Coturnix japonica: one gene and its partner. The main gene of each other region encodes a partner of the protein of the gene in region 2 in a complex. Links are inferred from orthologs where the notes say so. Each region holds a gene or a part of one and is shown on either strand. Other genes may lie near its edges.

Region 1 (3,652 bases), on a different chromosome or scaffold from region 2:
ACGAGAGAAGTTGCTCTTGACGCCAAAAGCTTGTCTATGTCATTGATACATAGAAGTTCAAGTATATGTGGGATGTTTGCCTGTAGGTACTCAGGGATAGCTTTGTTGGTTGTCCTACCATTAAAATTCCTTTAATGTTTTGTTTAAAATTTACTGTGATGAACAAAAGAGTGCATCTAAATAACTTACCTGTATTCTGTTTTATTCTGCTTCCTGGGAAGAGACTGCCACCGGGTCCAATGTTTTAAGTGTTCCTTCTGTTGTGTGTTTGTTCAGGGTTTTTTGTTCTCTTTTGGAAGTAGGAAAGAGGAGGGTTACATTGTACCTGTTGGTTATGAGGGGATAGTTCTAGTGTTTTTTCAGTTTTTAGTTGTTTATTTTTTTAAAGAAAATAAAACATTTTTCCCCCCTCTTTGACAGTCTGATTTTATTTTACTCGCTAACTGAAGTATACAGTGAAGCAGACATAATTCCTACGGCAAAACACAGCTACCAAGAAAAATGTTCAGTGTGATGAGAGAATCAGATCCTTTATCAACATACACATTTAAATGCTTGGAGTGTCCCTTGTCTTTATAAATTGTACTTCTACAAATGCTGAAGTAAGAGTATGGGTTTCTTCAATCAGACCTAAGGATAGCAAGTATGAGAAAGACTTACTCTAGCAACATTTAAAAGACTAGAAAAGCATTAGTACTTTTTCAGTTTTAGAGCAAACAGTTTAGTAAACTTAAAGTTCAGTCTGTTTATTAGCAAAGCAGCTAGGTTTTCCGTCATGGCTTTTACAGTACTGTGTGTCAACAGAGGAAGGAAAGACAGATGGGCTTTTCTGTACGAACTGGAGTTAAATAGGGTATCATCATTGCAACTTCCACTGCTGCAAATTGTGATAGCCAGGTGGCTCTACTGGTTGCTTCCTCGTGTTTCCTTGCAGCGATTGGTAGGGGTTTGGTGTTGGAGGATTGGTTGTGTTTGCTTCTTACTTCATTTTTTGTTTAAACCATATCATGTACCTAGCAGTGTTGGTAAATAAAAATGTTTTCCTGTCAGCATCTTCTAGTGGCCAAGGTCCCAGGATACCAGTCAGAAACCACGTGCCTTTATACACAGTGGCAATAAAGCTCCCTCCAGCCAGCTGTTTGTCTATGGCCTCCTGGCTGTGTCCACAGAACTGCCTGTTTGTGAGGCTTACGTTGAGTATTTGTTCACAGTCCTCGGTGGGGAGATATGAAACCTGCAACCCGTCGCTTTGAAATTCACCACCTTCCATTTTCCAACCAGTGACTGTACCAGCCAATTTGGGAATCAAAATGTGTTCTGCAAAGTCTCTTTCAGGGATGCATACAGGAAGCTGGTGGTTACTGCACTCAATGTGCTCTTGGAGTTGTAGGAGTGCAATGTCATTCTCACCGGTGTCTTCATCATACCGGATGTGTATGTGTTTCTCATGAATTTCCATGATCTTCTCAGCTCCGCTTGTTCTGTTACACCCTGTGAAGCAATGACATGTTGACTGCTCTTAGGAAGAAATTACCAGAGACTTGATAACTGCATGCACATTGGTAACAGCTGCCTAGTTGTGCTGAGGAGTATGTACGCTAGAGAAAGATGCTTTCTTGAAACACGTATGTTAAAGGTGAACTAAGAATGACAGCTTCAGTCTTGGGTAGATGCATCCGTAAGTGCCGCTCTGCTACACAGGAGGCTCGAATCCCGGGGGTTGGACTCGATGATCTCTGAGGTCCCTTCCAACCCGCACAAGACTGTGATTCTGTGGTACTGTGATAATTCAGATGGGAAGGATAAACACCCACCAATAGAACTGAATTTGGGCACGAGTAGTTTCTTTCCTTGGGGGTGCAGAGCAAGTGAACTCTAAATGAACCCAGTTTAGCTTATCCATGCTGAAAAGTGCTACAACCAAAGAAAATGTTTGATCACCTACCAGCGCCAACCCTGATTTTAAAGTGATTGTGCAGAAGGGCACACTGTGCCGTGGTCAGTACAAAATTGCTTTTCAGCAGCACTCCTCCACAGAAACCTTTCCCTTCTGAGTTTAGCAACAGGACCTAAGAAAATACAAAAGGAAGATAAGTAGTTCTGTCCACAGGAAGTTGAGTAATAGACTTCATGAACTGCTAGAAATACCTGCCAAGGAAATTGTTTGCCATGTTCCTTTGGGGTTTCACCAATCAGGTTGTCGCTGTCTTGAAGTGTGCCACATGCACATTGATCTAGCAAACAAACAGACAAACAACAACAACAAAAACAACACCCCCCAAAACAAAACAAAACAACTCATGCTGTAACATTTCAAGACAAAAACTATCTGTATATTATTCATTCCTTATATGCTGTAGTGTTTGGGTAAAGGACAATTTCTCAGCTGGTGAAAATCAGAATAATTAATTTAACATGTGTTGTCTGGTGGCACTGGATGGTTTGGTCACTGTGTTAGGCTTGTGGTGACCAGATTTCACTGCCTGTGACTTAGGAACAGAGCTTCCTCTCCAGCCAACTGTCATCACAGGTTGCTTCCTCATCTTCGTATCTGGGCAGGGTAATTCTCAGCCTTCATTTCTGAAGTTAAGACTATAAGGGGGATGCCTTCGTGTTCTGGTTCAGAGGGGGAGCCTGCATTTCAAGTAGATCTCAGTTAATTTGCATTCACAACACCTTCTGACACCTTGAGTTCTCCTCTTGGATCACGTAAACCAAATTCTGTTCAGGTGAAGCTGAATCAGAACTAAGCCCCTGTAACCATGTGCTCTAACAGATAATGGCATTTAGCCCTCCTTACCAAATTAGAGCTGTCTGAAGTAAAACCCATCTGAGTTGAGCACTTGCTGTGATCATTAAATCTTCATCAAAAGCCACAGCTGCAAACTGTATTTGGCTCTCCTACTTGTTAGCATAGACAGGGACCAAGCATTCTACTTTGCTTTTAGTAGGCCTTGCATAAAAGGAGATGAGGTTGAATGAGGTACTTTGAATGAAACAATGAAGAGAGCTACCACTTCAAACTAACATGGCAGCAAGTTCTGCCCTTCATTTATCATACCATCACATGCCTGATCCGAATCAACCAAACCTCAGTCTCAAACAGGCAGGATATCAGTTACTTGTTACTGAGGTTAAAAAAGTAAGAGTGGAAAACTTGTAACATTGGGTTAAGTGTAGTGTAGAGTGATGCAAGTGTTCGCTGCACACTCATGTTCAAAAGTTCTGATCAAATATTGCTTATTTTACTGCTGCTCATGCATCTTTGGTAGTGATCCTTAGATTCCTCCTTTTTCTCTCCCCATTTTGAGAGGCCAGTAATGTTTCTGCCCACCCAAGCACCAAGTGTGGGTCCTCTATTTTCCACACTCACACCTACCTAATGGGATGCACTGTTTTTTGTCCTTCCCAAGCTCATAGCCATCAGCGCAGGAGCAATGGTAGGAATTACTTCCTGGGTAGCAGAAGTGCTGGCATCCTTCTTTCCCTTGGTGCCGGCATTCATTTTTAGCTGAATGGAGCAGACAGAGAAAAAGCATTAGTAACCAAGAGTCAAAGGGTCCAAGGCTGTGTCCTGGAAGCATTGCCTCACCAAAGGCGCAGTCTTCCCCCTCAAAGCCCACGGTGCAGGTACAGGTGTAGCCACGGATGC
Region 2 (4,354 bases):
TGATACAGGTTGCTTATTACTCCATTCAGATCATTCTTCTGATCACCTGACATGGGATTCCCTGTCATTTTATGCTTCACTGTCCAGCAAATACTGGAGCAGGTTTGTCAGTGCTGTATCCTGCCTGAAAGTACTGTGTTTCAGTGTCAAGTAGCACGAAGGCAAAACAGTTGTTCAACAATTACAAATTTATACATGTTGTGAATTCTGAGCAAATTTAGCAGAGGTTCTCTCATCACCAAACAATATGTTTGGGGAGATCTGGACATGTTTTCCAGAAAAGCCTTAGGCAAACTTTACTATCAAACATGCAAATATGCTTTTCAAGCATGAAATGCAAATATGCTGATCATTCATCTTTCCATTAAAGTGATGTGTGAATATTGTTCCCATAAAGTGGCACTGAATTACTCTCCATGAAAGAAGTCTTGAATACAGGTGAATTTTCCCATTGCAGATTGAGCAGGATGTACAAGACCACTAAGCCTGCACAGAATCCATGTGTGTAGCAGTGGCATGATAATAGGTGAAAAAGACAGAAACAGAACTATCAAGGTTGGAAAGATCACTAAGGTCATTTAGTCCAAACACCAACTCATGGCCCCTCAGTGCAACCTTTACCCTTTTCTTGAACATTTCCAGGGACAGTGACTCCACCACCTCACTGAGCAGCCTGTGCCAATATCTCCACTCTCTTTTTGTGAATAATTTTTTTCTACAATCCAACCTGAGAGGAAAATATTGATTGTATGACCCATAATTAAAGCAATTCAACAATCTAGAAAACACATGGCAACTATTAACTATGGCTGTTTAGTTAAGGCTCTATAACAATCATTGTACAATTTGTGATTTGGCATATGGGAAAGCTGGTTTTATTTGATTGCCATTTATTCAGAGTTCAACTGAATTTCACAGTTGCCTGATTCAGGCTGTGGGAGTTAGTCTCAGAAAGGTACGTTGATGCGAGTACAGAGACATTTGGGTGCCAAGTCACAGGGTGTTTTTGGCAGCCAGGTGGTGTGCTATTTTTCTTGGAGATAATAGGTCACGTTCTGTACTTGATGTGACACAGATGGGCTGTAATGACTTAATGGGGAGGCAGTGAGATCTCTGAATTTTGTGCCTTCTCTTGAGTGTATGGCAGTCAAGAAACACTAAAATATGCAATTTACTGTGGCTGTATTTTTTCTTTATTTTTCTTTGCCATTAACTCTTGCTTTGTCTTCAGTGAGATGTAGATCATGAATGCATTCATGATTGGTTAATCTGTGTTTGAAGTAATCTCCAAAAGTCAAATGAAAACCCAGCTCTCAGCCCTATGTGCTGGCCCTCATCTAAGCTGATATGCTGCACATCCTGGCACTTAGGAGGTCTGGATTCAGCAGGAGCAGAGTAAGGAAGGGTTTGCCTTGAATTCATCTCCTGCCTTGGCAAAAGGTGCACTAGCTGCTTCTGCAGATTTGGGACACTTATTCTCCCCGACCAACTATAACTCAAAGCTGTTAAGAGCTCTTACAATTGCCAAGCACCTCTATTCATTGTGTAGTCACCTTCTTCTGTGGGAGGTTAGATAGGCACAAGGCACTTCTGTCTCAATGCTGTGGCAACAAAAAGGACTCCTATGGACCTGAAAGTGTGTGAATCTTGCCCAGGGAATCATCCCTTCTTCAAGGGGTAACCCTGAATGCTGCAAGATCAGAGACAGGGACTGGAAAGCATAGCTTCTGGTAGTATTCCATCACAGAGGGAAGTGGGGCACTGGCACAGACTGTCCAGAGAAGCTGTGGATGCTCCCCATCCTTGGAAGCATTCAGAGAGAGACAGGTTGGATGGGTGGCAACCAGCCCATGGCAGGGAGCTGGAAATGGGTAGGCTTTCAGGTCCCTTCCAACCCAAACCATTCTATGAATCTGTGATTTTCTCCATCTTCTCTGTGCACTGCAACACCTGACAGCGCTGCCCTTGGCAGATGCCACTGCTGTATCTTGTTCTGAAAGGGCTGCTTGATACTTGGCTCAGAAAGGCCACCAAGTTTTCCCAGGAAGATGGGGAGACCAAATGGGGAATGCCAGGTTGCACTGCCATCCCAGCACAAATTGATTTCAGACTGAGAAGATGGGCAGACCCAGCCCTTGTGTACATACATGTCCCAGACCATTCAGCACTCAGGGATGGAGTTCTGCTTCCACATGCACACACAAATGCCCATTTGTTACACACATCATGGGACTAAGAGCCTCAACATTTCACTATACGGTCATTGCAGGACTGAGATTGCAAAAACGTAACATAAATATTGCATCAGCTTTGTCATTCAGTAACAGTTAGAAATATAGTATGTCCTCTAGGACTAGGATAAAACAGTTTTGGTAACAATAAGGTGATATTTTTGCACATTATAGGATTGCATTTTTACATTGCTAGAGTGAATTAGAGTTATTAGTGATATTAGTGAATTATTACTAGCTTTGAGAGCTTCCTTTACAAAAGGAGTGGCAATTTAGTTAATAAAAACATGATAAAGTTACTTTTTCAGTTTTTTTTTTCTTTTGAAGTTACTATAGTAAGAAAAACATTCAATATATTATAACACTGATCAAGATCTATAACCATTTAAATAATCCTAATTAGGGAATATATGAGAAATATTATCTACATATAATATATTTAATAATATTAACATACATAGTAAGATAATCCTCTTTACAATTGAAATGATTCAGATAAATCTCAACTTACCTATTAGGTAGTTTCTCTGTTACTTAATCAACTACGTTCAAAAACGATGTGAATGTGACTGTCCCATATAGAAGATTTTCAACAAATATTTGCTCTTCCAAAGAGTGATCATCTGGCTTTGCCTGTTATAAATTAACTGCTTGATAAACTCTGAGTGACGTGTTTCCCATAAATGGCATAAAGAGGGAGGGTTATATTCCGGTAAATACGTTATTTCTTTCATGGGAAGCAAAAGAACAGTAAACTCTCTGCATCCAGCCCTTCAGCAGCCGAGTGGGATTTGACTACACATGTCTGATGAACATTGGATTGCCCATGAGAATTATTTTATAGACAGGCCCTAAGCTACTCAGTATCCGAATCCTGTTAAAAATGTTACATTTCATAAAAGGATACATCAGTATTCACTGGGGCTAAGCCAAACTGAAGAAAGGGACGGAGGAGATGCTGAGCATTGCAGAGGTGTTGTCAGCTCCCTATCCTTTCAGTGTGGTCTTTCCTTTTAGAGGAGAGACCGGGGCTTCATTTCCTTTTCCAAGAGCATATTCAGTAAAGTATTTATGAGTATGTGAGAATTAACAAGTGGTAAACACAGAGCAATGTTCTTCCTATAAATGACCAAATGGGGCAATCTGGTATTCATAGAATCATAGGATAGCTTGGGTTGGAAGGAACTCCAGGGATCATCATATTCCAACCCTCCTGCCCTAGTACTAGACCAGGTTGCCCAGGGTCCCATTCAACCCAGCCTTGAACACCTCCAGGGATGAAGCATCTGCATCCCCTCTGGGCAGCCTGTTCCAGCACCTCACCAACCTCTCTGTGAAGAACTTCCCCCTGACATTCAATCTAAACCTTATTACCTTGAGCTTAAAACCACTCCACCTTGTCCTATGATAGTATTCCTGCAGAAGTTCTCCAGAATTTCCAGTTTGATCTTGCCTGAACTGATCTGATAAGTTGTTCTTGAAGCTTGAGCACTGTTAGTTGGGCAAGGCACGACTTTAAGACAGGTAGTCTATTCAGTAATTGCTGTAGTGTGGGCATGATCACTCTTCACTATTTTGTTCATTGTCTTATTTCCCAGTGAACTGTGAACACAGAATTCCTCATGCTCCTAAATTACATCTATAAAAACAACACTCCTAAATGAAACAGAATGTTTCATTCTGATTTGGATTGCAGAAAATAAATTTAAAAAATAAGGCCTTATAATTTGACATTACAGAATTTGTCTCTAATTGTCAATTGAATTGAAACAAACAAACAAAAACAAACAACAAAAGAACATCCACTGCTTGCAATTTAAGTGGGAGCTTAGCCAGATCCAAGGATGTTATTTTGGAAAGACAATAAAGGAACTGAGCATCCAGGACTTGGTGCAAAAAGGAGTTGTGTGTTGCTGGTAAACATTATTCATTTGATAAAGCTCTTTTAAAATAGCCTTATTTTTAAAAGCAATTCTTTTACTTCTAGGCCTGAAGTATAGACAGTGTTTTAGAGAGCACATGAATATGAGACTGGGCTGAGTTAACATAATTTGGCCTATTGATTAAACATCAACTGTGAATGCCACAGTGACTTTATTACTTCAGTTCTCTGATGAATTAAT

The links.
Region 1: the proteins of SERPINA10 (region 2) and PROZ are in contact, whole or in part, in a crystal structure (PDB 3H5C), measured with the Homo sapiens proteins. The link is inferred for Coturnix japonica from reciprocal best matches to the Homo sapiens genes SERPINA10 and PROZ. Residues at the interface, in NP_001094077.1 of Homo sapiens: Arg88, Lys89, Ser91, Met92, His94, Asp95, His257, Asp259, Lys260, Tyr261, Asn282, Phe283, Lys305, Met306, Asp308, His309, Leu310, Ala311, Leu312, Asp314, Tyr315, Leu316; in NP_003882.1 of Homo sapiens: Cys129, Pro131, Cys141, Leu142, Pro143, Ser151, His250, Met251, Arg252, Asp254, Ala257, Glu259, Asn260, Glu284, Lys285, Asp286, Phe287, His290, Leu291, Thr336, Thr337, Arg338, Arg390, Ser392, Leu393, Trp394, Gln397.

The regions. Positions count from the first base shown.
Region 1 is NC_029516.1:123,914,741-123,918,392, forward strand, and holds the end of PROZ (vitamin K-dependent protein Z), read right to left. Parts: coding exon 3,593-3,652; intron 3,512-3,592; coding exon 3,380-3,511; intron 2,235-3,379; coding exon 2,149-2,234; intron 2,070-2,148; coding exon 1,946-2,069; intron 1,492-1,945; coding exon 980-1,491; 3' UTR 726-979; downstream 1-725. UniProt on the Homo sapiens protein: Appears to assist hemostasis by binding thrombin and promoting its association with phospholipid vesicles. Inhibits activity of the coagulation protease factor Xa in the presence of SERPINA10, calcium and phospholipids.
Region 2 is NC_029520.1:41,271,951-41,276,304, forward strand, and holds the start of SERPINA10 (protein Z-dependent protease inhibitor), read right to left. Parts: upstream 2,848-4,354; 5' UTR 2,743-2,847; intron 1-2,742. UniProt on the Homo sapiens protein: Inhibits activity of the coagulation protease factor Xa in the presence of PROZ, calcium and phospholipids. Also inhibits factor XIa in the absence of cofactors.